Linked DNA regions of Xenopus tropicalis. The protein of the gene in region 5 interacts with the protein of the main gene of each other region in a biochemical or structural test. Links are inferred from orthologs where the notes say so. Each region holds a gene or a part of one and is shown on either strand. Other genes may lie near its edges.

Evidence for each region.
Region 1: of the proteins of uba1 (region 5) and cdc34, one has a biochemical effect on the other in vitro, tested with the Homo sapiens proteins (7 studies listed by BioGRID, with this or other methods). The link is inferred for Xenopus tropicalis from reciprocal best matches to the Homo sapiens genes UBA1 and CDC34.
Region 2: of the proteins of uba1 (region 5) and ube2g1, one has a biochemical effect on the other in vitro, tested with the Homo sapiens proteins (3 studies listed by BioGRID, with this or other methods). The link is inferred for Xenopus tropicalis from reciprocal best matches to the Homo sapiens genes UBA1 and UBE2G1.
Region 3: of the proteins of uba1 (region 5) and ube2z, one has a biochemical effect on the other in vitro, tested with the Homo sapiens proteins (3 studies listed by BioGRID). The link is inferred for Xenopus tropicalis from reciprocal best matches to the Homo sapiens genes UBA1 and UBE2Z.
Region 4: of the proteins of uba1 (region 5) and ube2q2, one has a biochemical effect on the other in vitro, tested with the Homo sapiens proteins (3 studies listed by BioGRID). The link is inferred for Xenopus tropicalis from reciprocal best matches to the Homo sapiens genes UBA1 and UBE2Q2.
Region 6: of the proteins of uba1 (region 5) and ube2c, one has a biochemical effect on the other in vitro, tested with the Homo sapiens proteins (5 studies listed by BioGRID, with this or other methods). The link is inferred for Xenopus tropicalis from reciprocal best matches to the Homo sapiens genes UBA1 and UBE2C.
Region 7: of the proteins of uba1 (region 5) and ube2e3, one has a biochemical effect on the other in vitro, tested with the Homo sapiens proteins (3 studies listed by BioGRID, with this or other methods). The link is inferred for Xenopus tropicalis from reciprocal best matches to the Homo sapiens genes UBA1 and UBE2E3.

The regions. Positions count from the first base shown.
Region 1 is NC_030677.2:105,629,502-105,633,652, forward strand, and holds the start of cdc34 (ubiquitin-conjugating enzyme E2 R1), read left to right. Parts: upstream 1-1,351; 5' UTR 1,352-1,508; coding exon 1,509-1,691; intron 1,692-4,084; coding exon 4,085-4,151. UniProt on the Homo sapiens protein: E2 ubiquitin-conjugating enzyme that accepts ubiquitin from an E1 ubiquitin-activating protein, and catalyzes its covalent attachment to other proteins by an E3 ubiquitin-protein ligase complex. In vitro catalyzes 'Lys-48'-linked polyubiquitination.
Region 2 is NC_030678.2:101,249,464-101,252,963, forward strand, and holds part of ube2g1 (ubiquitin-conjugating enzyme E2 G1), read left to right. Parts: coding exon 1-175; intron 176-1,877; coding exon 1,878-1,964; 3' UTR 1,965-2,000; intron 2,001-3,500. UniProt on the Homo sapiens protein: Accepts ubiquitin from the E1 complex and catalyzes its covalent attachment to other proteins. In vitro catalyzes 'Lys-48'-, as well as 'Lys-63'-linked polyubiquitination. May be involved in degradation of muscle-specific proteins.
Region 3 is NC_030686.2:12,230,080-12,234,045, forward strand, and holds the start of ube2z (ubiquitin-conjugating enzyme E2 Z), read left to right. Parts: upstream 1-1,166; 5' UTR 1,167-1,259; coding exon 1,260-1,453; intron 1,454-3,966. Other genes in the region: uncharacterized protein LOC101731254, read right to left, coding at 1,106-1,118. UniProt on the Homo sapiens protein: Catalyzes the covalent attachment of ubiquitin to other proteins. Specific substrate for UBA6, not charged with ubiquitin by UBE1. May be involved in apoptosis regulation.
Region 4 is NC_030679.2:90,108,054-90,112,336, forward strand, and holds the start of ube2q2 (ubiquitin-conjugating enzyme E2 Q2), read left to right. Parts: upstream 1-1,483; 5' UTR 1,484-1,560; coding exon 1,561-1,719; intron 1,720-4,283.
Region 5 is NC_030684.2:525,443-529,572, forward strand, and holds the start of uba1 (ubiquitin-like modifier-activating enzyme 1), read left to right. Parts: upstream 1-1,330; 5' UTR 1,331-1,354; coding exon 1,355-1,468; intron 1,469-2,237; coding exon 2,238-2,296; intron 2,297-4,130. UniProt on the Homo sapiens protein: Catalyzes the first step in ubiquitin conjugation to mark cellular proteins for degradation through the ubiquitin-proteasome system.
Region 6 is NC_030686.2:19,654,190-19,658,400, forward strand, and holds the start of ube2c (ubiquitin-conjugating enzyme E2 C), read left to right. Parts: upstream 1-1,411; 5' UTR 1,412-1,544; coding exon 1,545-1,645; intron 1,646-4,211. UniProt on the Homo sapiens protein: Accepts ubiquitin from the E1 complex and catalyzes its covalent attachment to other proteins. In vitro catalyzes 'Lys-11'- and 'Lys-48'-linked polyubiquitination.
Region 7 is NC_030685.2:62,866,566-62,870,830, reverse strand, and holds the start of ube2e3 (ubiquitin-conjugating enzyme E2 E3), read left to right. Parts: upstream 1-1,465; intron 1,466-2,599; coding exon of another isoform or gene 2,600-2,630; coding exon 2,631-2,824; intron 2,825-4,265. UniProt on the Homo sapiens protein: Accepts ubiquitin from the E1 complex and catalyzes its covalent attachment to other proteins. In vitro catalyzes 'Lys-11'- and 'Lys-48'-, as well as 'Lys-63'-linked polyubiquitination.

The DNA.
Region 1 (4,151 bases), on a different chromosome or scaffold from region 5:
AACCTTATTTTCTGCTTTATAATTTGTAACAACCCCTAAGCTTAGCTTCTCAGCCACTGCCCAGAGCACACTGAGCATGTGAGTGTCACAGACTCTTCTAACAGAGTCATTCCCTGTGACAACTCTGAAATACTGGATCAGTACTATAATAAATATGCTAAACCTTTAGGCTGGAGCAATAAGTCCAGTATATAAAAACTTCCCAACTTCTTGCCATATTAATTTTTAAGGGTTTAGATCTCCTTTAACAAGGAATGTAACTTTAAAGCAAGCACACCCTGTGACTGTTGGGAGCCTGCTGAATAATAAGTAGTTTCATTATATGTATATGAAAGATATTATTTCTAATTTCAAGGTGTGCCAAAATGATTTTTCAGGGCCTAGTAACTTCTACTTATGCTACTGTTTACAACACCGTACATGGAGTAGGAAGCAACTAGTCTTTAACTAGTAGTAGTGAAGTGGCATTTTACAAAGTGTAGCACCGGCCTGATGGAAAGTGTTGGGGGCACCCAATAAATTGCCACCCACTGAATCTAAGTTTCCCTGTCCTTTAAAGTGCACCTATGACCCTTTAACTGCTTCTCCCACCAGAGGTGCAGGCTAATAGACGCAGCACTTTGGTTGAGGGAAAACGATAGTTTGGTTTTTAAAAAATACAGCAACTGCCATTTCTAGGCTGCCCGCACCTGAATGAAGCTCCCAGTACAGGCAACCATGTTGTTTGCCATGCGTGGGCATAATAAATGCGCCTTTCCACTTGCAGATGATGCGCATGCGCCTGATCTAGGCGTGGTGGATGCAATTCACCCTCCATCACAAGCATGCACATAATAAGCAACTTGTGGCACTCACTCATTATGCACATTGTGAGAAATGAGGCAATATGGCTGCCCACACCTGGAGCACTCTTCTGCTGCAGGCAGCCTAGCAATGGTAGGAGCTTTTTTTTTTTTCACAAAAAGCTATTGTTTCCCTAACCTCTGATGAGGGAAACAATTTGAGGGTGATAGGTGCCCTTTAAGGTGAGCTGTATTAGAAGGTTATATTCTAGGAGATTAAAGGATATATTCACTGTTCATTCAGAAACTTTGTGTCAAGTTGAAGTTTTCTACTGCACTACTAAATAAAAGCTCTGTAAATCACGTTTCCCCACTAGAAACCAACATCTAGCTTTGTTCCCATCAGCCTCAGCAAGACCCCTCCTTCCTCCGCTCAGATTACACTTCCCTCGCACCAGTGCGTCACAGTGTTCGTGGGCTTGTGGGATTTGTAGGCTGCTCCTCCCACAACGCCGTGGCTTCACTTGCAGTTTCCGGCACCCGTTACTCTTCCAGCCAGCAAGTTAATTCGCAAAGCGGCTCCGTTGTGCCGTAACATGTCGTAATAAAGCCTTTAGTCGTCTAGCAGCCCCTTCTTGCTAAAACACCAAAAGCCTACTGATCCCATCCTGCCCTACGCGGAGGACGCTGTGGGCTCCTGGTTAGAAAGCGGGGAGCGGAACTACCATGGCCCGGCCGGTGGCGCCGGTGCCCAGCTCTCAGAAGGCCTTGATGCTGGAACTCAAGGGGCTACAGGAAGAGCCGGTGGAGGGGTTCCGGGTCACCCTGGTAGATGAGGGGGATCTGTACAACTGGGAGGTGGCAATCTTTGGCCCCCCAAACACCCTCTATGAGGGGGGGTACTTCAAGGTGAGGGTTAGGTGTGTGTGAAATGGTGGAGTTCGTGATCATAGGGGCCTTGGGGAGGGAAAGCCACGCTGGGGGGTATTTAAAGAGGCAGTAAGTAATAGAGGCGTGGGTGGGTATTGCGTACATCGCTGGGCCTTTCTGCACAACAAGCTTTCCTTTGTTTATGTGACTCCTACAGCCATAGCCGTAACTTGCCCGAAACTAATGTTTCACATGAAACTCAACCAGCCCTCAAAGCTACCCCAAAACTAAAACTTACTGAAAGAGTGTGGCACTACTAAATCTTTAATCCTGTTTTCTGCGAGTTGTAGTCCAACAACAGCTGCTAGGCCCCAGCCACAGGATGCACGGTGTTAGAAAGCAATAAAGGCCTTTGTGTAACAGGAAAACGCTCTAAACTCTTCATCTAACTTCTGATTTGGCACTTTGTGTTTGTGGAGATACCCTGGGTTTATATGTATTCATCCTGTGCCTATTTCATAAAGATTTTCAGAAGATTAATCAAACATAGGCGTTCCACTCTTTTACATTTTAGTATGCCATACTAGCTACATGTATGAAGCCTCATTCTTTTAAGGATTAAAGGGGTCTCTATACTTAGTTTTGGGCAGTTTTGTTAAGATGTGCCTTCTATAGTGTGTGTGTATATATATATATATATATATATATATATATATATATATATATATATAATATTAGTTTCAAGGGACTACTTATTCCTAGACATTTGCACAGATCAAGAAATTTAATAGGGGTTTATAATGAGATGTTAAATGGCTAGAACAATGTAATTGTGTTTTACAGGGGTGGTTCACCTTTAAGTTAACTTTTAGTATCTTATATAAAGACCTATTCTAATCAACTTTTCGAATATTCTTCATTATTTGTTTTTCATAGTTTCTTAATTTATTTGCCTCCTTGTCCTAACTCTTTGCAGCTTTCAAATGGGGTCACTGACCCCTGAGCCAAAAAAAAATCATACTAAAAAGTTAAGTCAAAGGTGCACAACCCCTTTAAAGGGGTTGTCCACCTTTTACTTAATTTTTAGTATGATGTAGAGCGTAATATTCTGAAACAATTTGCAACTGGTTTTCATTTTTTATTTGTAGTTTTTTTTAATTATTTCAGTTTTTGGTTGTCTCCAGCTTGGAGTTTCAGCAGCTATTTGGTTGCTTGGATCCAAATTACCTAAGCCACCATGGTGTGATTTGAATAAAAGACTGATATATAAATACGAGAGGGCCTGAATAGAAACATAAGTAATGTACAATAACAGTTAAACTATAGCTTCGCAGAACAATAGTTCTTTGGCTTGGGGGTCAGTGACCCCCCTTTGAAAGCTGCAAAGAGTAAATAATTCAAAAACTATGAAAAACATAATGACTAATTGAAAAGTTGCTTAGAATTGGCCTTTCTATAACATACTAAAAGTTAACTCAAAGGTGAACCACCACTTTCAATATATGTATAATATACATATTATTAGGGATACACTGAATCCAGGATTTGTTTCGGCGTTTGGCCAAGATTCTGCCTTTTTCAACAGGATTCGGATTCAGACGAATCCATGTGCCTGGTTGAACCAAATCTGAATCCTTAAAATCACTATTTCTTTATGTAAACCCAGAAGTTGAACATTTTTATTCCTTTTATAGGTTAGTTTTCAAATGCAAATTAGAGTTTGGTTCGGTATTAGGCCAAATCTTTTACAAAGGTTTGAATCATAAAACTCTGGAATTGGTGCATCTCATTATCCAGCCTCCCTGGAACTGAAAACAGACCTTATTTTTTATTTACTTATCATTAATCTGATGACAGCTGAGCTTGCTTACCCATCATGCAGTTCTATAAGTATGAGATCTATTATTCTGAAAGCTTTTGGACATAATTCAAATCTTTTATTGGGGCCTCTTGCATGATAGCCACATTCAGAGTGCCAATGCACCCTCATTCAATAGGATTTTCAAACTTGCCGTATTGAAAATTGATCAGCTATTGGTCAGACGGGCCCTATACACGAGCCAATAAGCTGTTAATTTGGCCTGGAGGCACTGACCTAGCAGCTTTTATTGGCCCGTTTATGGCCTGCTGAAGCATTTAAAAATAAAAACCAAGATGATCTTTTAGCCAGAAACATGGATTTATGTTAGCTTAGTTATCATAAAGCACAAGATACTGTTTTATTGTTACTACAGAAAGAGAGCAAACAAGTAAAAAATTAATAAATTACACTTTTTTTTTTAATAGACTGAAATTTGGTTGATCTACTCTTAGATATGTTGCTTGAGAACCATTATTTTGTGCTAATCGGAGCTACGGTGTGTTATAACAAAGGCATGGATCTCAACCATACTCACTTGCTTGTTAACCATTACATGTTCTTTTTGTCCTAGGCCCGCTTAAAATTTCCAGTTGATTACCCCTACTCTCCTCCTGCGTTTCGTTTTTTGACAAAGATGT
Region 2 (3,500 bases), on a different chromosome or scaffold from region 5:
TAAGAATGGTGATGTATGTATTTCCATTCTTCACGAACCCGGAGAAGACAAATATGGCTACGAGAAACCTGAGGAGCGCTGGCTACCTATCCATACAGTGGAAACCATAATGATCAGTGTAATTTCTATGCTAGCAGACCCTAATGGAGACTCTCCAGCAAATGTGGATGCAGCGGTACATTCTTATATACTTTCTTATATGTAAATTTATTTTCTACAAAGGGGCTCTCTGGATCAATGTATAAAACTTTAATTTGGGTTGTTGCTTATAGGACTGATACATGCTGTGTTGTGATTTTTATGGGTTATATTGAGAGCGAGCAATGGCTGAGAAACCAGAGGAGCACTGGTTAAACATAGTTAACCCATAAATTAGATTTGTTCCTAAAATTGCTTTTGTTCAAAAGTGCAATCCCTGATGCATTACAGTTGCCTCATGTTCAGAACGTCCTCTTTGCCTTAGCTCAGAACTGATCATTTGTTTAGTAAGGTTAGACAACTGTATGAGAGCAATTGATATCCATTTTTAATGGATCTGATTCCAAGCCATCAAATCAATTATGCATAATGCGTTATGGAACGGGGCACAAATGAATAAACAAATCTTATTTAAGCTTTTAAACAAAATTGTGGAATTGTAGCTGGTCTCTAAATTTGAAACGTGTAAAGACCAACTCCTTGCATGACATGAAACAAATTGTTAGGGATGTACAGAATCCTGATCCTTAAAATCAGGTGACATTGGATAACTGTACAATGTTGGTGTAGTTAGTGGGGTGTTTTTTTTTTTTTTGTTTTTTCCCACTGATCTGCAAAATGGCTAGTGCCATTTTCCTGTCTGCTGGTGGTGCTGCTGCACTGTTTGCCACCCACTGGAAATTACATATTACTGGGGATTTACACTGATGCAGAAATATCTGCCCGTATTGCTTATGTGCAGAGTTGTCTTTCAGCAGAGTAATACAGTGCAGCTACAGCTCCTTATATAATCCACATACATTCTCCCCTACTCCCCAACCACTGAACCACCAAGGTTGCACCCATGAGGCAGGGGCATCATCAAAGAATTACTAAGAAGTTAAATTGATATATTATTTCTCACTGTTCCCAGGCCCCACATGATGTAATCAGCAATGGGGTCTGGACTGGGATCCAAAATAGGCCCTGGCAATCTTGCAAATCTACCATTCCGCCAATATATTTCAGGGTTGTTTTGGCAGTCCTATTGTAGGATTGCAATGACTAGGTATCAGTGCAAAATACTGCCAAACAGTGCAGATACATCAAACCCTTATAGGTAATGTGGAAAGAAGTTCTTAAGTGCACTGCAGTACTTTCAGCTGAGTGCACAGTCCACTTGCAGTATCTTTCCAAATGACACAGAAAAGTATAAAGTGCTGCACTTGAGATGTTGTTTTACAATACCAGGTATCCAATGAAGAACTATCATTAAATGAAAAATGTAATTGAAACTTTATATTCTATCCCTTGTTGCATCAGATGATAGACTGTTATCTCTGATACATGATCTGGGCATAGGGAGCACAGAGTAGCCTTTTATAGGAGCTGACCGTCAAAAAAAAAAAGTGTGATTTTGGGGGAGGGTTGGTATTAAAGCAATACTGAAACGGTCCTATAAAGAAACTTAATTGTTGTAGGCAGCTTTTAGGTAGACCACTTAAGTCGGGTAACGTTTGGGATTTTTCTCCCTTCCAACAAAAAAAGCCTTACTTTTCATTTATTTATATAAGTATTTTACATGCATAATGTTAAGATCTGGTCTCTGGCTTGGATGCAAAAGATAATCTGATTGTGTAAGGAATATGGTGTTGTACAACTCGGCATTTAACTAAATGCATTGTATTGTGCATGTACAGAAAGAGTGGAGAGAAGACCGTAACGGTGAATTTAAAAGAAAAGTTGCCCGCTGTGTAAGAAAAAGCCAAGAAACAGCTTTCGAGTGACATTTAACCAGCAGCTAGTAGCTTCACAATTTCAGGGTAAGTTTCTGTGAATATACCAATTCCTGTAAATAAGTCCATACATTCAATTTGTTGTAATGTCTAATGCACATTTAGACTGGTGACAGCTTAATCCTGTTGAAAGTTTTTAATAAGCTTTTGTATATTGCAAGTTATCAAGGATGGTCTTTAAAGGGATACTGTCATGGGAAACATGTTTTTTTCAAAATGCATCAGTTAGTAGAGCTTCTCCAGCAGAATCCTGCATTGAAATCAGTCTTTCAAAAACAGTTTTTTTTTTTTTATATATATATTTAATTTGGAAATTTCACTTGGGGCTAGCCATATTCTTCATTTCCAAGGGTGCTGCAGCCATGTGACTTGTGCTCTGATAAACATCAGTCACACTTTACCGCTGAGCTGATAGTTGGAGTGATATCAACCCCCCTCCCAGCAGAACAGTGGGAATGTAGCAAGATAGCAGCTCCCAGTAGATATCAGAATAGCACTCAATAGTAAGAAATCCCAAGTCAGTCTTCGGACTCCTCCAGTTACACTGCGTAGGAGAAACAATCGGCTTTCAGATAACCTTTCTAATGTGTAGTGCTGGCTCTTTCTGAAAGCTCAGACTCAGGCACAATGCACTGAGATGGCTGCCTACACACCAATATTGCAGCTATAAAAATACGTTTGTTGGTTCAAGAATAACATTTTAAATGGTGTAGTGAATAATTTGCTATGTAAACTGTGCAATTTTAGAAATAAAAAGTATGCTATAAAAATCATGACCGTATCCCTTTAAGGAATGGCAACACTGAAACATTTGTGTTTATAGTAATTAAATGTGTTCTATTGCCATAAATGTTTGCTTCAGAAACACTACTATATTAACTATACTATATTATATTAAGCCATTGGGGGCATTCAAGTTGAACTAGGGCTTACTGATGCAGGTTTACACAATAAATAAGCTCTATAGATTAGAGTGGTTTTGTTCTTACACAGGAAAAAACAGAAGTCCAATGCAATCCAAGTCTCTTTACAGAGCTGTAGACTAAAAACCTCATATAAAACAGGACATTTGTTGCCAAGAATAGTTTTTTTAGGTTCTGGATCAACATATAGAATCTTTGGATGTAAGAACAAATATTTTCACTTTATGACATTATTTGTCCCTTAATGTAAAAATGGGGCAGCACAACGGCTCAGTTGAGTAGTTCTATTCCAGCTTGGGCACTCTAGGAAATTTGTGTTCTCTCCATGTCTGGGTGCTCTTGTTTCTTTCCACACATCAAAAATATAGTCAAGGACATTGGCTACTGATAAAATTTACTTATTTATAGGATTCCTAACCTGTGTTCTTTGACTAGGACCACAGGTTTGCTGCTAGGATTCATGCCCCCACTATTTCAGGTGAAAGGGGTTTGCCATTGGCATTTTATTTTGGAAAGATATAAGTTTGCTTAATTGTCTCTAACTCATACAGGTTGTTTGGCACTTTGTTTCGCTTAAATGGGGGATGTGGGTTTATCTACTCTC
Region 3 (3,966 bases), on a different chromosome or scaffold from region 5:
AATAAACAAGAACACTGGACACTGATAGGTAGAAATATTGGATAAGCAAGAACACTGGACACTGATAGGTTGAAATATTGAATAAACAAGAACACTGGACACTGATAGGTAGAAATATTGAATAAACAAGAACACTGGACACTGATAGGTTGAAATATTGAATAAACAAGAACACTGGACACTGATAGGTTGAAATATTGAATAAACAAGAACACTGGACACTGATAGGTAGAAATATTGGATAAGCAAGAACACTGGACACTGATAGGTTGAAATATTGGATAAGCAAGAACACTGGACACTGATAGGTTGAAATATTGGATAAGCAAGAACACTGGACACTGATAGGTTGAAATATTGGATAAGCAAGAACACAGGACACTGATTGGGCTTGGGCTTGGGAAGGAAAGCATAGGCCTGGGGGGGGGGGGCTATAAAACAGGAGTGACTATAAAAATAAGACAGAATTAATGTTAGTTTGTAAGACTTTTGTTCATACTATTGTATATCTGTGTGTCTTCTCCTGTATTTAGAGTCCTGATGGTACTTAAGAGAAGATTGTCTCCCCCCCCCCAGTAAATGACCTTTCACTGTGCAGCTTGCCTGTTCTATGACTGCCCTACAGAGCTCGAACATTTTGTATGGAAACCAACTCCTAGTTATGAGATCACTGAAATACGTCTGGGCAGTTGGTCAGCTTTAAAACAAGGTCTTTTGTAGAGACAGAAAAGTATTAGACAGTCATGTAACTTGTATGTATTTTCCTATCCACCAAGGGTCTGGGCGTTCGGAGACATGACCACACAAACCAACAAAATGGCTACTTACAGCCTAGGCACCGACAGTTCCTGAGTGAGGGATACACACCAATAGGATAAGCCGGCTCACAGTTTGTGAGTGAGGGATACACACCAATAGGATAAGCCGGCTCACAGTGTGTGAGTGAGGGATACACACCAATAGGATAAGCCGGCTCACAGTGTGTGAGTGAGGGATACACACCAATAGGATAAGCCGGCTCACAGTGTGTGAGTGAGGGATACACACCAATAGGATAAGCCGGCTCACAGTTTCCGCAGGAAGAACCCCTCTCACTCTTACTCACTAATACGCTGCATTAGACGTGCCCTCTAGTTTTGGTAATCCACAACTTCCGGTGGAAATACGCAGACACTCTGGTTGTTGTCTCTATGTTGGCTGTACTCTCTCTTCCCCGTAGTCTTGTTCCTCTGGAGTCCCGGAAGTAAGTGAGAAGCGGAATGGCGGAAAGTCCAGCGGCTGAAGCGATTATCCTCCCAGGAGCTGCGGCAGGTGGGGGTGTCCTTCCTCATCTGAGCGGGCTCCAAGCGCCTGGGACATCTCCTCTGACAACCTCCTCGGTGTGGGACCCGACAGCCAGCGCCGACTGGGATAACGAGAGGGCATCTAATCAGTGCGTGCTGCGGATAAAGAGGTGACACTCGGAGGAGCTTTTATCTCAAGACGGACATGTCTTTAGGAATAACTTCCGGGACATTTGTATTGATTGTGTGCGCTGTGCTTTATGGTCATGGGGTTTGTAGGTGCTACACAGGCAGAACTGGTACTATAGGATGGCAGGGGCCACATCTGGGGGGGGGGAGCATATCTGTCAGGGGACTCACAGGCAGAACTGGTACTGTAGGATGGCAGGGGCCACATCTGGGGGGGGGGGGGGGCATATCTGTCAGGGGACTCACAGGCAGAACTGGTACTGTAGGATGGCAGGGGCCACATCTGGGGGGGAGCATATCTGTCAGGGGACTCACAGACAGAGCTGGTACTGTAGGATGGCAGGGGCCACATCTGGGGGGGAGCATATCTGTCAGGGGACTCACAGACAGAGCTGGTACTGTAAGATGGCAGGGGCCACATCTGGGGGGGGCATATCAGTCAGGGGACTCACAGGTAGAACTGGTACTGTAGGATGGCAGGGGCCACATCTGGGGGGGAGCATATCTGTCAGGGGGTTCACAGGCAGAACTGGTACTGTAGGATGGCAGGGGCCACATCTGGGGGGGGCATATCTGTCAGGGGGTTCACAGGCAGAACTGGTACTGTAGGATGGCAGGGGCCACATCTGGGGGGGGGGCATATCTGTCAGGGGGTTCACAGGCAGAACTGGTACTGTAGGATGGCAGGGGCCACATCTGGGGGGGGAGCATATCTGTCAGGGGACTCACAGGCAGAACTGGTACTGTAGGATGGCAGGGGCCACATCTGGGGGGGGGGGTGCATATCTGTCAGGGGACTCACAGGCAGAACTGGTACTGTAGGATGGCAGGGGCCACATCTGGGGGGGGAGCATATCTGTCAGGGGACTCACAGGCAGAACTGGTACTGTAGGATGGCAGGGGCCACATCTGGGGGGGGAGCATATCTGTCAGGGGACTCACAGGCAGAACTGGTACTGTAGGATGGCAGGGGCCACATCTGGGGGTGGGGGGGGGCATATCTGTCAGGGGACTCACAGGCAGAACTGGTACTGTAGGATGGCAGGGGCCACATCTGTGGGGGGAGCATATCTGTCTGGGGACTCACAGGCAGAACTGGCAATGTAGGATGGCAGGGGCCACATCTGGGGGGGGGGGGGGGGCATATCTGTCAGGGGACTCACAGGCAGAACTAGCAATGTAGGATGGCAGGGGCCACATCTGGGGGTGGGGGGCATATCAGTCAGGGGACTCACAGGCAGAACTGGCAATGTAGGATGGCAGGGGCCACATCTGGGGGTGGGGGGAGCATATCTGTCAGGGGACTCACAGGCAGAACTGGCAATGTAGGATGGCAGGGGCCACATCTGGGGGTGGGGGGCATATCAGTCAGGGGGTTCACAGACAGATCTGGCAATTTAGGATGGCAGGGGCCACATCTGGTGGGGAGCATATCGGTCGGGGTTCACAGGCAGAACTGGCAATGTAGGATGGCAGGGGCCACATCTGGGGGTGGGGAGCATATCTGTCAGGGGACTCACAGGCAGAACTGGTACTGTAGGATGGCAGGGGCCACATCTGGGGGTGGGGTGCATATCTGTCAGGGGACTCACAGGCAGAACTGGTACTGTAGGATGGCAGGGGCCACATCTGGGGGTGGGGAGCATATCTGTCAGGGGACTCACAGGCAGAGCTGGTACTGTAGGATGGCAGGGGCCACATCTGGGGGTGGGGTGCATATCTGTCAGGGAGTTCACAGGTAGAACTGGCAATGTAGGTTGGCAGGGGCCACTTCTGGGGCTGGGGGGCATATCAATCAGGGTATTGGTACATGTGAAGTGACCAATGATCCCAACCAATATCTATGTACTTTGCCCATCACTTGGTTCATCAATCATTGCAGGTTTGAAAATATCAAAAAGCAACAACCACCATGGGGCATATGATCTCTCTCGAAACTCCACAGGGGTCACAAATTTTTTTGAAAAGTAAAAAAGACTTTTTTTCAAAGTTACATTAAAACATCTCCAATGACCCTAGGTGTTTTATGCCTTAGGGCAGTGGTGCCCAAAAGGTAGATTGCGGTCTACCAGTAGATCACTTTAAAGTTTCTGGTAAACTTCGAGGTGCAATGCAGTGGGATGACATCCTGCCGCATCATTCCCCCCCCCCAGCATACTGGGGCTTTTGAGTGCTGCTGCTCAAGCCATCCGTCTTTGTAGTTTCATTCCAGTGTAGCAGATTGTCCCCACCAAGCCACTGTATATATTTGCTCCCACTTAATATATGTTTCTGTGTGCAGACTACAAAGTGAGCCATGAAGAAGGGAAACTGCTACAATCCTTTCACATTAAACTTGAAGTTGGCACTGCATTTATATATTGCTATGTGTATTTGTTAAACATCGATTGATACTTTCTCTTGCTTATTGCTCCAAATGATAGACTTCACACTATTATAACTGTAGTAGATCTCATGACGGAGGCCCGGTGGGAAGAGTAGATCACAGGGTAGC
Region 4 (4,283 bases), on a different chromosome or scaffold from region 5:
TAAATTCATGATGTTTTATCATTGTGCTTAAGGACATGTGGGAATAAGATGCCATGCAAAGCTTTGCAGTTTATTGGATGGATTTTATTTGAATTGGAGTTCACAGATTGTGTAATCTACAAAAACATGATTTTCTGTGTGTTGTATACTCTTTGGAACCCTTATGACACATAAAATGTCAATAGTATGGATATATTGATGTAGAACAGGGGTCCCCAACCTTTTTTTACCCATGAGCAACATTTAAAAAAAGTTGGGGAGCAATGCAAACATGAAAAAAGTTCTAAATGGTAAACCACAGTGGCAGGCCCTAGGCAACCCGGTCGGCCTTCCCACCCCACCCCACCCCCACCGCAGTTCCATCAGGCGGGGATCGGCAAGGAGGGAGTCATTGCACCACCGTGTAATGACAACCGGCAGGGGCAAGAGAAGGGAGCATGGGCTAGGGGTAGGAAGGAGAGGGTCTTTAAGGTCAATAAGGAAGATCCAACCCTTTGCAAACACTATGTTAGAGTGGTCTAACCTATGGATCAATAATGCGCAAATAGGAAAACCTGTTACATGGGTCTCTGCCCATTAACAGTGGAACAAGGAAGCATAGGGTTTTAAACCATAGGGGTATATTAACCCTATGGCTCCCTACACCAGGGGCGCTGCTGCCGTGAGGCAAGTTGAGAAACTCGCCTCAGGCGGCAGCACCCAGCAAGTTACCAGGGACGGAAAAAAGTTGCTCCTGGTAACTTAAAGAACCGCAATTCTGATTTTAAATCAGAATTTCGGCTCCTCTAGTGCCGAGAGGACAATTGCGCTCTCAACACTAGCAATGCGCCCCCCCATGTGAAAAACCTAAACACAGGGGGAGTGAGGGGGCGGCTAGGACCCCTGAGGCAGCACTGCCCTATACTGTGCATTATCAATTTAACTGTTCAGAAGACTGCTGGCATTCATATTTATTATGTTAGTACCCAATGACATGTGAGAGGTACTTTGCTGTAAATACAACCTCTATGGTGTCTCTGAGGTGACTTTCAGATATATAACTTACCTTTTAGAGCTTTTGCTAAACATAAAGTTCAGCCTACGCGTTGATTAAACAACAGTTGATATAACAGTCGTGCCAATTTATATGCACTATCATTTCAGGAGTTTAGGATTTAAAAAATTTTTTTTAACATTTACAGCTACGCATTTCTACATGTTGAAGCCACTAAACGTTCTCCTGCTGCCAGAATGCTCAAAAATACCATGTTTATGCGCATGAACTGGGTAAATACCACACAGAACGGCCCCTAAAGTTTTCTTGCGGCTCTAAAGTTTCGCGCATGCGTTAATGGTAAGCGCTCCCTTAACAGCGGCGCGCTTGCGCATTGGTCTCGGTAAAGCCCCGTCTGTTACGTCATTGCGCCGGAAGCCTTCCGCTCGGTGGCCCTCGGTGGCGTAGCTCCGCATACAAAGGGAAGCTAGACCCTCTTTCTTATTTGTAGGCCGGGCGGAGAGCTCGGGCCCGGGGCATGATCCCGCTGAATACTCGGGCCTCCGCCGGGCGGAAATGAAGCCAAGATGTCGGTGTCTGGGCTGAAGGCCGAGCTGCGGCTCCTCGAGTCCATTTTCGGAAAGGAGCACGAACGGTTCCGGATCGTCAGCTGGAGGCTGGACGAGCTACACTGTGTTTTTATCCAAAGTACGGGGGGAGCTCTCACTATCCACTGCAACATCACGGTGTGTATACCCATCGTATGCAAGCAACGGGCCAGACACGGAATATACCAAGTGACTAGCTGAACTTAGGTTAAGCCTGACTATCTTTTGCGAGCGCCCTAATGTGTCCAGTCTTTAGGCGGCTGGGCAAGTTGCACTGTGTATTCAGCTATGGCTTGCTCTGCTGTACTACCGTTCACCCATGCACACACTAAACAGCTGACAAAGTACTCTGTATGTGCTTCCATCATCTGGGGGTCTCTGGGATAAACAGTGTATAGACTGTATATTGTTTTAGTTCTGTAGTATTTCTTTAACATAGCCCTCGGTTTATTGTGAATGTATGCCTTTTAACAGCAGCTGTGGGCTCAGAAACACCTAAAGGGCCATAGGTAGACTCTTTACTGTATAACTCATTGATCTACACACTGTACTGTTTAAATCACCTACCACAATAATCAGTGGTTGCTGCATGCATAATGGTCTGTGTCTTTGACCCTACATAGTTATTTGTATAGTTGCCAGTCTGCCTGTAAGGGGTACACTTGAGTTACTGGTGCCTGAATGTTTTGTATCCAGAACATTGGCTGTCTGTCAGGTATATTAGCCCATGTGATGCTTTCTTAGGTTTATTTTCTTGCACACCTGCTAGGCTGCACCAGTGCAGATGCCTTTAGCAACCCACATCCCATATGTTTTGATTATTTTGTGTTTGTAAGGTAGAAAATGAAAGCAAAGATCTGATTGGTTCTGTAGTTTAGTGCATGAATGCAGGGTTGTAGTTGTATGTAATTTAACAGCAGTGTGCCAGAATATATGCTACTTAGTACTTTTCCATAGTTTGTGCAAGCATGGCCAAACAAACATCTAGAAATTTTTAGGGTGAGAAGTTTTGGGAGTTGTAGTTAATGAGACCTTATGTATGTATGTATATCTTTATTTATAACGCACTACTTATATACGCAGCGCTGTACAGTAGAATACATTAATACAAACGGGGGGGTTATTATAACATAATAGATAAATACAAAGTATAACAATAAATACAAGATACAGTTGCAATAAGTTAAGAGTCAAAGACACAAGAGGATGTAGGTCCCTGCCCCGTAGAGCTTACAATCTATATACAGACCAGCTATCAGTTTACAGAGACATGCCTTTTTACTCAGAAGAAAAGCAATGCAAAACTATGGTACTCCCATGACAAATCCATAAATTATGCATACGGAAAATACGTGTTTTTTTTTGTGATATTGTGTTCATTACAAGACCCCATTTTGTCTTGAGGATGTGGTTTACTGCCTAGGCCCAGACTGGCAGGCTGTAGATTTTGGCAATTGCCAGAGGGGCTGCTGTAAGAAGCCATAGGCATTCACTATTTAGTGAGCTGGTGTGGGGGCTATATGGTTCTCTGTTTACTTAATATGCCAGGGCCTATTTTGAATCCCAGTACGGGCCTGTTACTACCTATGGCTGCCAAAGAAGGGTCAACTTTCCTTCCAGAAATGATTATACACACGCACACAAATCAGTCATTTGTCTGTCTCCCCAGCCAGACTGAATGATGGCTGCACCAGGAAATATTAGTATTAATCTAATCTTTATTCATTTCCTCTTATTGGTTGATGGGTTGAGTGTTGGACATCACTGTCTATACACTGTACACAACAACCATGTCAACTCTGATCACATATGCAAATTATGATTATTTTATTGCAATTTCTAATTAAGCTGCAAGTAAACATAAAAATAACTTTGTGTGTGACCTGCAAAGGACCAGTTTTGTATGTGCATTCAAAAAGTAGTCTAAACCACTCTACCATCTGAGAGCAGCTATGTTGATCTGCTCCACAGTCTTGTCTCAGAACCCAACCTCCACATTACTTTCATTGGTGGTCAGGGAACAGGGCAGATGGCAGCTTTTCTTAATACTAAATAGTAAACGTCATGCTCTTTGGTAGTAGTTAGACCAAAAACAAAAAATATATCTAAGCCGTTAGAGGGGTGATTCACCTTTATTTCAGTTTGGTACAGAGAGATATGGTTCAATTTAAAAACAGATCCTTTTCAAAATATCTACCTTCAAAGTTAGTGCTGCATAAAGTCTCATAGCTTTGCCATTGCAGGGCGGTACAGGCTATGCTTGCTTCTGTGTATACCCTTCTCTTGCTTTTTTTGCTAGTCATTGATCAGATTCGCTGATTCCTGTTTGCCAATCATATCACAGATATTCAGATGAATGGCACTTGCACAGTAGTAATCAATGCCTACTCTTCATTTACTCTGCTGGGACTGTCAGAATAATGTAGACAGGACCTTGCCCAGCCAGGGTGTCAGCGATCCGATCCCCTGCCTTGGGCAGAGTGCAGAGACTTAAGGATCTTTGCAGCACTCATTTTGCAGGTAGATATTTTACAAATATCAATTTTTTTTTACGCTAAACCAAATTTACAAAAATCATATAAATGACTATCATTTGTCCCAACCTGTAATAAAGGTGAATTACCTATTTAAAACATAATGTACTGCTGCCCTGTACTGGTAAAAGTTGTGTTTTTGCTTTAGAAACACCCCTATAGTTTATA
Region 5 (4,130 bases):
TGTCCCTCTGTACCGGCCCTGATACTGTCTGTCCCTCTGTCCCGGCACCGACCCTGATACGGTCTGTCCCACTGTCCCACCCCACTGTGGGTTCTCTGTTCAGGTTACCCACAGCCTTTTGGTGCCAGGATACCAATATAAGTAGGAGGAGCTTATATTTCTAGCCTGGTTACATTGTACCATTGAGTTGAGTTGTTGGGGGCAGAAACGTGGAAATAAAGACCAATTGCATTGGGGGTCACCCTGTTTGATTGCTCGCTCTGCTGCCACGGGGGGTTTAGCTGTGCGGCGAGGGTGGCACAAATAGTATAGGGGTGTTATTATATTGGGCTGCGTGGGGATGAGTTGGGCGCCTGTGAGTGTCACTGTGTGAGTACAGCTGCTACTGCTAGAGAGGCCTGTGTAAAGCCGCTTTGCCCCATGTTGGGGGGGGGGGGGTACAGTATGCTGGGTAGGTTATGCCAGGCTTCATACGGGGCAAACGCCAAATGGTGGGGCCCCAAACCCTTCCTGGGCCCCAGAGATACCGTAGAATTTCCTGCAGTCTCACTGCTGTGCCTGCCCCCGTCTCCCTGCCGTTGTACCTTCTCTCACCCCCAGGTGGGGCAATACCTGCAGCATGGCAGCTTTGTAATGCCCAACAGGAGCTGCTTGTTCTGCCCAAGAGCTGACATTCTATAATATTCATTATAGAGTTACAGAAATTGTTGTATTTGCTCTGTGTTTGCGCACACTGCTTGCTCGTCCCTCGTGCCCCGCCCCTGCTTGCTCGTCCCTCGTGCCCCGCCCCTGCTTGCTCGTCCCTCGTGCCCCGCCCCTGCTTGCTCGTCCCTCGTGCCCCGCCCCTGCTTGCTCGTCCCTCGTGCCCCGCCCCTGCTTGCTCGTCCCTCGTGCCCGCCCCTGCTTGCTCGTCCCTCGTGCCCCGTCCCTGCTTGCTCGTCCCTCGTGCCCCGCCCCTGCTTGCTCGTCCCTCGTGCCCCCCCCTGCTTGCTCGTCCTGGTGCCCCGCCCTGCTTGCTCGTCCCTGGTGCCCCCCTTCGCCGGCCCCCCCTGCTTGCTCGTCCCTGGTGCCCCGCCCCTGCTTGCTCGTCCTGTGCCCCGCCCCTGCTTGCTCGTCCCTGGTGCCCCGCCCCTGCTTGCTCCGTCCCTGGTGCCCCGCACCCTGCTTGCTCGTCCCTGGTGCCCCGCCCCTGCTTGCTCGTCCCTGGTGCCCCGCCCCTGCTTGCTCGTCCCTGGTGCCCCCCCCCTGCTTGCTCGTGCCCCGCCCCTGCTTGCTCGTCCCTCGTGCCCCGCCCCTGCTACGGTACCAGCCCTGTACAACCGCATACACTGACCTGATCTTTTCTCCCGGTTAGATGTCCAGCTCGCCGCTGTCCAAGAAGCGTCGCGTGTCCGGATCTGAGACAAAGACGGGTTCAAACTGCTCATCCTCCAACTCCGTGAGCACCGATCAGACTGCGCCGGCCAACGTGAGTGCCCCCCGGGCTGTGCCGCCATATTCTAACCCCTTTCTACTTTGCTCAGAGTCAACCTGTACCCTTGGCTTTCTAGCTGGGGGCCAGTAGTAATGTGGCCCCGAGATTAACCCAATGGGCTTATTGCAGGGGAGGGCTCTAGTGTGGCCCCGAGATTAACCCAATGGATTTATTGCAGGGGAGGGCTCTAATGTGGCCCCCAGATTAACCCAATGGATTTATTGCAGGGGAGGGCTCTAATGTGGCCCCCAGATTAACCCAATGGATTTATTGCAGGGGAGGGCTCTAATGTGGCCCCGAGATTAACCCAATGGATTTATTGCAGGGGAGGGCTCTAATGTGGCCCCCAGATTAACCCAATGGATTTATTGCAGGGGAGGGCTCTATGTGGCCCCCAGATTAACCAATGGATTTATTGCAGGGGAGGGCTCTAATGTGGCCCCCAGATTAACCCAATGGATTTATTGCAGGGGAGGGCTCTAATGTGGCCCCCAGATTAACCCAATGGATTTATTGCAGGGGAGGGCTCTAATGTGGCCCCCAGATTAACCCAATGGATTATTGCAGGGGAGGGCTCTAATGTGGCCCCCAGATTAACCCAATGGATTTATTGCAGGGGAGGGCTCTAATGTGGCCCCCAGATTAACCCAATGGATTTATTGCAGGGGAGGGCTCTAATGTGGCCCCCAGATTAACCCAATGGATTTATTGCAGGGGAGGGCTCTAATGTGGCCCCCAGATTAACCCAATGGATTTATTGCAGGGGATGGCTCGGAACGGGAATTCTGCTGAGATAGACGAGGGTCTCTACTCGAGGCAGCTGTAAGTATAAGACCCTCCCTGGCTGCATGTTATTCGGGGGGGCTTTCTTCCTATTGGCTGCAGGGTTTGGCTCCTCGACTGTTGCTGGGGGCCCCTCTGCTGTGTGGAACCAAGGCCTGGGGACTTTTTTCTCTCTGGGAGGTTAAACTGCCCAGTAGCTTTAACCCTTTTCAGTCTGTGTAACTTCAGTGACCTTTGACCTCCCCAGACCCCTGTATTGTTCAGCATGGCCAGGTGACTGCTGTCGGCCAATCCCGTGAGACTCACATGCAGCCCTAATATAATTGCTTGTTGGAGAAGCAACAGATCAGCGGATTTTGTGCTGACAACTCTTCCGGGTCTCCTTGGCCTTTATGGCCATGTGACTGCAGCCTTTGAGTGGGCCAATCAGAATGGGCAGCTGTACAGATGTGTGCCTTCTGGTATAGATTGGCAGCTTTCCCTATACACAGTTACTGTTTTGTGCATCCCAGGTCCTCCCCCCCCCCCCCCCCGTGTCTTTGTGGGGTCCCCCCCTCACTCCATGAACAACTATGTTGGGCCCCCAGTAAACCTGGCAGCCGGGGGGGTGTCTAATGGCTTAGCTAGAACTGAGAACGCTTGGTGGGAGGGGCTGGAGGGCTAGTGGCTTAGCTAGAACTGGGAACGCTTGGTGGGAGGGGCTGGAGGGCCAGTAGGGCTAATGGCTTAGATAGAACTGGGAATGCTTGGGGGGAGGGGCTGGAGGGCCAGTAGGGCTAATGGCTTAGATAGAACTGGGAACGCTTGGTGGGAGGGCCAGTAGGGCTAATGGCTTAGATAGAACTGGGAGGGGCTGGAGGGCCAGTAGGGCTAATGGCTTAGATAGAACTGGGAACGCTTGGTGGGAGGGGCTGGAGGGCCAGTAGGGCTAATGGCTTAGATAGAACTGGGAATGCTTGGTGGGAGGGGCTGGAGGGCCAGTAGGGCTAATGGTTTTAGATAGAACTGGGAGGGGCTGGAGGGCCAGTAGGGCTAATGGCTTAGATAGAACTGGGAACGCTTGGTGGGAGGGGCTGGAGGGCCAGTAGGGCTAATGGCTTAGATAGAACTGGGAACGCTTAGTGGGAGGGCCAGTAGGGCTAATGGCTTAGAACTGGGAGGGGCTGGAGGGCCAGCAGGGCTAATGGCTTAGATAGAACTGGGAACGCTTGGTGGGAGGTGCTGGAGGGCCAGTAGGGCTAATGGCTTAGATAGAACTGGGAATGCTTGGTGGGAGGGGCTGGAGGGCCAGTAGGGCTAATGGCTTAGATAGAACTGGGAACGCTTGGTGGGAGGGGCTGGAGGGCCAGTAGGGCTAATGGCTTAGATAGAACTGGGAATGCTTGGTGGGAGGGGCTGGAGGGCCAGTAGGGCTAATGGCTTAGATAGAACTGGGAATGCTTGGGGGGAGGGACTGGAGGGCCAGCAGGGCTAATGGCTTAGATAGAGCTGGGAATGCTTGGGGGGGAGGGACTGGAGGGCCAGCAGGGCTAATGGCTTAGATAGAACTGGGAATGCTTGGGGGGAGGGACTGGAGGGCCAGCAGGGCTAATGGCTTAGATAGAACTGGGAATGCTTGGTGGGAGGGGCTGGAGGGCCAGTAGGGCTAATGGCTTAGATAGAACTGGGAATGCTTGGTGGGAGGGGCTGGAGGGCCAGTAGGGCTAATGGCTTAGATAGAACTGGGAATGCTTGGGGGGAGGGACTGGAGGGCCAGCAGGGCTAATGGCTTAGATAGAGCTGGGAATGCTTGGGGGGAGGGACTGGAGGGCCAGCAGGGCTAATGGCTTAGATAGAGATGGGAATGCTTGGGGGGAGGGACTGGAGGGCCAGC
Region 6 (4,211 bases), on a different chromosome or scaffold from region 5:
AACACTACGAAAAAATCACAACTTTTTGCGCAAGTTTTAACGCTACGAAAAAATCACAACTTTCGGAATGGCTACGAAAAACTCGCGTTTTTCCGCAAAAATCGTATTGGTAACGAAAAAGTCGCGATAATTTTCCGAAAAAATCGCAAAATACCGATCATTACGAAAAAAACGCAATCGGACGCATTCGGCCTGTTCGTGAGTAAGTAAATGGGCCCCTTAGTTGAGCCTTCTTTTGCAAATGTAACAGCCTCTAGACGCCTCCTATAGCCTTTGATGAGTGTCTTGGTTCTCGATGGCGGTATTTTTGACCATTCACCCATACAAAATCTCTCAGTTAAATTTGATGCCTGTTGAGCATGGAAGTTTCCTCTCAACGCAACTTCTGCGATTTCAGTGAAATCGCGCCACCACGTATGCCATCCCACCGGCGATTTACACTTTCGCCGGTGGGATGGCATTTCTGGGAGATTAGTCGCCCGGGAACAGGGAGATTTGTCGCGGGCGACTAAGCTCCCCGTGTGCCAGAGCCCTTAGGAAAAGTTGGGGAAATTGCTTGTAGCATCAGGAGACTGGGGGAGGGACAGTGCAATTAAGTAACTACCCAGATTATAGGGGGAGTTGCAGAGCTGTCAACCTCCGATAGTCAAGGATGTGCAGTGTTATTTTTTCGTGCTAACCAGAAGTGATGTCAATACATGTGCATAACTGACCTTTGAAGCTGAAAAATTGTTGATTGCGCATATGCAAATGCTCACTATGTTGTCACTGAATGCACATGCATGAATTTAATGAGAAAAATCAGAATGCTATCAACAGACCAGAGACATGGGAGAGAAAGCCAAATTGGGTAACTCAGAAAAATATAGGGGGGTTGACAGCTCTGTGTAAGCACATATGGGGACTCTTCAGTGGAAGATTATTTTAGTTTCCCCCTTGCTGGACAGACTTTTACATGGGGTGGAAAGGGGTGGTATGACAGGAACAGTTTATGGCAACTACTCTGTAACATTAGAGAAGTACTGCTCTCCTTCTAATGACTTGACTGGGTTAGTTAACATCCTTGTTACAAGAAAACGTCAAACGATTGAAATTTGAGCAAAGGTATTTTATACTTTTCACGTCGTAATAAAAACAAAAAGTATAATAAAAAGTATAACTTCAAGATAATACTCTTTCCTGACAGAACTTTCCCACACACGTATTATTTATTTATTTATTTATTTTGATAGGCAACGGAATTCTTCCAATCACAATAAAGCATAGCAGTCTACTTTAGCCAATCCCGTACCTTTGTTTAAAACGCCTACGCTTCCGACACCAAACTTGCCAGTCTCTGCGGAAACCGTTCTGTGAGCATTCCGATTGGTTAAATTAAATATTTAAGCGACGCTGATTGGACGCTTTGTGTAGAAGTTAAAAATTTCAAATAGAGGGCGGTAGGTTTAGTTACAGAATTAAGAGGAAGCGTCAAAGATCTCTGGGAGTGGAAGCCGGATACTCAGCAACGTTCAAGGCCCGGTTTTTGTCATTTTTACATACCGATGGCTTCACAGAATGTGGATCCAGCTGCGGCCAGCTCGGTGACTGCAAGGAAAGGACAAGAGTCGGGGACCTCGGCCGCCCGTGGCTCTGTGGGAAAGAGGTGAGGAGAGCCGGCTCTTGGGAACAATGGCCGCTGTGCTTATGGCGATGGCAGTGTAGCTGGATCTTGGCACACCCTCTGTATAATTCAGATGGGTCACTTGAGATATTTTGCTATCAAATTTTATTCAGCTTATAGCAGCTATATCTCTGTTTTCTAAACTTCATTCATTTTACGTATCTCTTCCACTGCTTAGTTACAATATACAGGTTTTCTCTACTCCCTTTAATATCCGCTACATTGTCTACAGTGTCACATCCTGTTTTTGGTCCAGATCTGTGGCTGCCATGGTTAGTAAATTGTTCTGATCCAGCTTGCAGTCAAATGAGTTTAGAGTTTAGTGTCAGTTCTAAAACCAGTCCAAAAGTCTGAAAGTAGCCCAAAAATAGGCCAAAATGTGCAAGTATATATGGGAAACATGCCTTTTTAAAGCGTATAATCACTACCCAGTTACTGGGAATGCTGATAATTCCCTGACCTCTGTGCCCAGTCCAGCTGGGAAGACTACAAAATTAGATTCCGAATGTTGCATTAACCCCAGACATGAGATACATATGGGTGTGCTGAACTACAACTCTCAGCAGTCCCAAGATATCCGGAGAGTTATATCTTAATGATCAACTGCAGAACTGCCCCCACATCACAGCAGAAAGTAATAGTACAATCACATACCCTATAGAGCAGGTTGCAGAATATACAGGTTGACCCTGAAAGAGCAAAAAGGAATACAAAACAGAGCCTCTATCTATACTGTCCAATTGCATGCTGGGTATTGTAGTTTTATATTAATCCTAACTGTAGATTAAGGCTCCAAAAAATAGCCCCAAACTGTTCCTTGGTGGGTTTGTACCTTGGAAACCTGCCAGGGCTTTAAATTGGTAGCCCAATTTTGCAGAAACACCAACCTGGCAACTCTGCTGCAAGTGTGGCCATTAAGGAAAGCACCATTGACTTGGGGAGGGGGGTAGGCAATATGTAAGACACCCCCACCCAATGGCTGTAATTGCTTAAAGCCTTAAACAAAGGTAGTGTTATTTTACATGCCATCCCAGGCAGACTTCAGCTGCTAATTTGGCCACTTCAGACCTAGTCTGTAGCTTATCTGCCTATGTATGGGGCCTTCAGACTGTCTGAAACTGGATCAGACATTGATAATGCACTGACTTGGTGTGCCATTCACTGGGGTGGGGGGGGGGGGTTGCAGTCATGGTCCTGTAGCCAGAGGGTGTTTGGGGTAAAGGATTCTGGTCTAAATCTAGAATAATAAAATCATATGTCTAAAGGTGGCCACACACCTTTTTGAGATGGGTCAGTCTATCGGACTGGACGACCTTTTGGCTAACAAAGTGTAGTATCGAAATGAGAAACACTTGGTCCTCTGGCCTTTAGGTTGTCAGGCGGAAGCTTGATGAAAGCAGAGGAGCTGTGTTCCCATAAGGGAATGCCTGACATATTTTAGTTGGGGACTTTGCACATGCACCTTCTGCTTAATTATGCTTAACTTAATTTGCCCTGGCAATTAGGACGGCGGGAGGCATTTTTCTTTTTGGCCGCCAGCTGGAGCCTTACCAAGGCAATCCATGGCATTGCACTCGCACACTTCAGCACCTGTCTTGTTTGATTTGTGCACCATGGATTGGTGTCATAGTCCTCTGGGTTTGACCCCAGGCCAAGACCTGATGGGTCTCACACTAGCTTCGGCAAAGGTGGACGTACCCGCCCATGCTGTTCATTGGTGAAAGCCTTGGACACATGAGCATTGGAGCCCAAGCCTTCACATAGGACTCACGCAATGAGTCAATATTATCATCAGCCTGGTGGAGCATGCACAGAAGAGGAACTGGAGATTTTGTTCATTAGAGTGCGTGTCACTGTTGACCTCCAGATTCCCTTCCCTGTATAAAACCATCAGCAAATGGCAACCTTAGTTTATGGTTGCTATAGCTGCCTGCTGATTGTGATTGCACCGATCTGCAATCTTTGTTTTCTCCAGTGATGGTTCTGTCTTCTCCCACTTCCCCAGCTGCCTGCTACTGCGCAGAAATGGCTAAATTGGCTAAATATTTAAGTTCATTTCTAGTATGTTATAGAAAGGCAAATTATAAGCAGCTTTTCAAGTGGTCTTCATTTATTTTTTTTTATAGCTTTTGCCTTCCAACTCTTTGCAGCTTTCAAATAGGGGTCACTGACCCCAGCAACCAAAAAACTATTGCTCTGTGAAGCTACAGTTTAATTGTTGTTGTCAGATTATATTTCTCTATTCAGGTGTTCTCCTTTTCAAATCAGTCTTTCATTCAAATCACACCCTGGCTGCTAAGGTAATTTGTATCCTAGCAACCAAATAGCTGCTGAAACTCCAAGCTGAAAAGCAAAAGCTGAAATAATCTACAAATTTGCAATTGGTCTTCATTTTTAATTCTCAGAATATTACTATCTACATTATACTTAAAGTTAACTCAAAGATGGACAGCTTCTTTAAGATGTAATGGAAGGCAATATGGTGGCCGCAAGTTCAGCTGGCCAGAATAGTTTAAAGCCCAAACAGGGATAAGGTATGTATTGTGTT
Region 7 (4,265 bases), on a different chromosome or scaffold from region 5:
GATCTTTTAAAAATCTACACGTGTATGCCACCTTTGCCCTATGTTGTATCTCTTATCCTTCTATTCACTGAGTTAGCAGGTAGGAGTCCCCAAATCATTTGTACTTTGTGCTCCTAAATAAACAGAAGTGGAGGCTCTTGTGCACTTGAAATTGACTAAAGAGCTGTTTCTTCTCTACAAATGGGCCATTTATATGGAGAGGGTACCATTCCTAAAACATCTGCAATAACTTTAGAATTAAAAAAACCTCACTTTCATCAGCTAGGAAAGCCCTTCCATCTTACTGAATTATATTTATTTTTCATAATGTATTATTCTTGAACTTTTTGTTAAAAATGAAGCTACCTGCCATATTGCCCTTGAGCATGCATGATGCGTAGGGGCCCGCAGAGGTAATACCTTACAGCACGGGTCCCAACCTTTCATACAGAGAGCCACAGTCAAACGTAAAAAGACTTGGAGAGCAACACAAGCACCATAAAAGTTAATGGAGGAGCCAAATAAGGGCTGAGATTGGCTATTAGGCAGCCTCTATGCACACTATCAGCTTACAGGGGCTTTATTTGGTAGTAAATCTTGTTTTTATTCAACCAAAACTTGCCCCCAAGTCAGGAATTCAAATATAACTACCTGCTTTGGGGGCACTGAGAGCACCATCCAAGGGGTTGGGGAGCAACATGTTGCCCCTGAGCCACTGATATACAGACAGAAAAGGCCAAGGCACTGGATGGACAAACCCAAATAAACACGACATCTTTGAACTCCTCTTTTGCATTCATTTTAAGGTCCTCTCTTACTACAAGCATAGTGATTGGGTGGAAGCAGAACCCATCAAATCATATCTTCCTTAGCCCCCCAAGCATTACCGCAACTGTGATTGGTCAGCACAATACAGGAGTATTTCCTCTCCTAGACCTATATGAAGTAGTGCCCCCAGGCGTTTAAATGATGACGAAACGTAGGAACTTTTCGGCAGCCTCTCGCTTCAGTACAACGTGCCATTAAACAGCGCAAACTCTATTGTCCCCGCTTGGCACTGAGGGAACCCGGCAGCCGGCCGCACAGGGACGAGCCCAGGGAGCGCGCAGGAAGTTGCTGACTCCAGTGTTTTGCGCCGGGCGGGGGAGGAGCCAAGGGGCGGGTCTGCGCGGATAGGGGCGGGGCTAAGGGAACAGGAAAACCCCGCGGCGGCCGCTTTGGGCACGAGCCGGAGAGTTCGCGATTCTTCTGTTCCCGAATCCGCCCGCTCCCGCGCCTCCCACCGCGCTCAGCAGCGCCGCCACCAGCCTGCGGGAACGCACTGCAGCCTCCCCCCCCCACCTCCTCCTCCTCCTTTCTTCCGACTCTCAATGTTCGGCAGCCGGCCGGAGCCTGCTCGTTTCCCCGGCTCTGCGTTCCCAGGATCTCCCGGCGGCAGCGGCACACACAGCGGCGTGAGGAGAGCAGGGACCGGCGCGCCCGGAAGGTAAAGGGGGAAGCGGGGAGGGAGGCGGGGAGACGGACAGCTTTGTTCTTGTTTTCAGCCCCGGAGAAGGCAACGAGGAGGAGGAGGGTGCTAGCCCTGACTTCACGCCTCACTTGCTACACACCATGCTGATATCCTAGTGCGGGGCTGAGGGTAACCCTTACCGCTCCAGCTGCTGTGGGACTACAACTCCCAGCATCCTTGCTCCAGCTGTGCTGGAAGGGAACGCTGGGAGTTGAAGTTACGCCTGTGGTGCCTGTCTGTGCCAGTCCTACTGCCCAGTCTCACAGCCCCCCAAGCACCACAAAGGCTGCTTCCTCCCTCCCCAATCCCTATAGCACGGCCCCCTCCTTGGCTTTATAGAGCCCCCCTCACCGTGACCAGGGCTGTTTAACCTGACCCTTTCTGGAGAAACAGCTCCACTGCTGACAGAGAGGCATCTGGGAGTTTTAGTTTAGCAGATCTGTTGTATGGACCTTCCAGAGTGGCACTTTGAGGAAGTATTCATTTGATATGAAGAGTAAATCAGGGATGGCCAGTCTATGCTCTGTTGGTAAATAAAGCCCTGTATAGCCATGCCTATGTAGGATAAAGCCCCCCCAGGTATGTCCAATCAGAACCCCCCTGCTGTGCTTGTTGAACAACAAACCTGAAGCACCCTGATAAACTGAAATGGCCAGGGACTGTTTCTTTAAGCTGGAGTGTCCAGGCTGGGGTAAATATTAAAACCCTGCTCCTCTTCCTTAATTGGGTACATGCCAACGGGCAAAAAGTAGGAATTGCATACTCCCCCTCCCCCCTAACAAGACAAATCATAACAAACTTTTGGAGAGTTATACATTTCACATGGGATTGGAGTTCTGGAGCCCTTTAACTGCTACACATGGGGAACGGGAATGTAGTCTTTATCAGTTGGTGATGTGAGTAATGGACTGACATCCTAATCTTAATTATCTCTACAAAAGCTTGGCTTTGGGTGCTAATGCATTGATAAATCAGAATTAGGCAGAGTGGGTACCTGTTATAGCTTCAATGGCACCTAAATGTTACATTGTATTGTGTGCAACAGATGTATCAAATCTAAGCAGTTAAACCTGCCCATTCACCTACACACTTCTTGGCTTGTCTCGGCAGATTGCATCCAGAAGAAACAGAATCCATCAAGATGTCTAGTGATAGACAGCGCTCAGATGATGAAAGCCCTAGTACCAGTAGTGGAAGTTCAGATGCTGACCAGCGAGACCCACCAGCACCAGAACCTGAAGAGCAAGAAGAAAGAAAACCCTCGGCGGTCCAACAAAAGAAAAATACCAAACTGTCCAGTAAAACCACTGCTAAGCTGTCCACTAGTGCTAAAAGGTAATAAACCACTTGATACAGGATATTAAATGCAGCTCGGGTTCCCACGGGGAGTGTTGACATGAATTTGTGTGTCTTTTTAATGGATGCAGCTTGGATTGAAATTAAAGCTGTTTTTTTTTCACATACGTTCTGCCCTTACACCGCTTTCCATGTTTTGTTTGGCATGTGCTTTCTAATAATCCTCTAGGGAGTGCATAAACATGGAAAGAACCAAAAAGTAGGGTGACAATGGCAGAGAGACAGATTTAGCCTGAGTTATTACATAGAGGTTACTGTGTATCTAAAGGGTCATCAGTTTTCAGGTTACCAAGTGACTTGTGGGACTGTGCACCCTTGAGGTTAGGTGCCTTGGCCATGCAGAAAATGTGACTGCAGAGTAGAGCACAAGCTAGACGTTTTTGTTGTACTCAACTGGTTGAACATTTGTTCTAGCCCACCTTTGCCATATGAAGCAGAGTGAGCCAGCGATTAGTTGCAATGGTATCCATGTTAAACAGTTTTATTAGTGGTACTTTTTTAGGCAGAACTTGGGTTACTTACTTATCACTCTATGTAACATGTAAGTATCAGTTTTATCTATGGGGCAGATTAAAGGTGGCCATACACGGGCCGACTATAGCTGCCGATATCGGTCCCTTGGACCGATTCGGCAGCTAATCGGCCCGTGTATGGGGAGAGCAGATCGGCCTGGAATTGGCCAGATCTCGATCGGCCAGGTTAGAAAATCTGGTCGGATCGGGGACCGCATCGGCTCGTTGATGCGGTCCCCGATCCGACTGCCCCATTGCCGCCCACATAATCCGATCGTCTGGCCCCAGGGCCAAACGATCGGATTATTATTTTTTTTACCTAAATGGTCCCCGATATCGCCCACCCGTAGGTGGGGATATCGGGGGAAGATCCGCTCGCTTGGCGACATCGCCAAGCGAGCGGATCTGCTCGTGTATGGCCACCTTAAGTTTAGTCACATTGCAGCACTCTTTTCAGTAGCATGGTAAATTCATTCATATGCTTTAACGGGCATAGTGCAAGCTGAATGGGGCCCTCCAAGAGACTTTTATTATTGCCACTAGCCTGCCCAGGCATTCTGTATTCTTTGTATGACATCATTATTTTAATAACATTAAACATTGGTCTTTTAGAATGGACCCATAAAGCAATGTTTTGAGCACAGTGTTGGCCTTTTTGTGTATGTGTCAATCTTGTCCCCATTAGATTTAAAAAAAAAAAAAAAAAAAACACTTTATTGATGCTTTCTGCCATCCTAGAAGTGAACAATTGCTATCTTGTCCTGTATTCTAATGGCCAAACAATTGTCCTGTTTGGTCATTTCAAGTGTGGCCAGATTGTGTGATATGATTGCAATGTTCAAGGACCAACCCAGCCAAATTCTCTTGAATTGCCCCATGTTTGGCCAGCCTGGGCAGTTGTTTTTTTT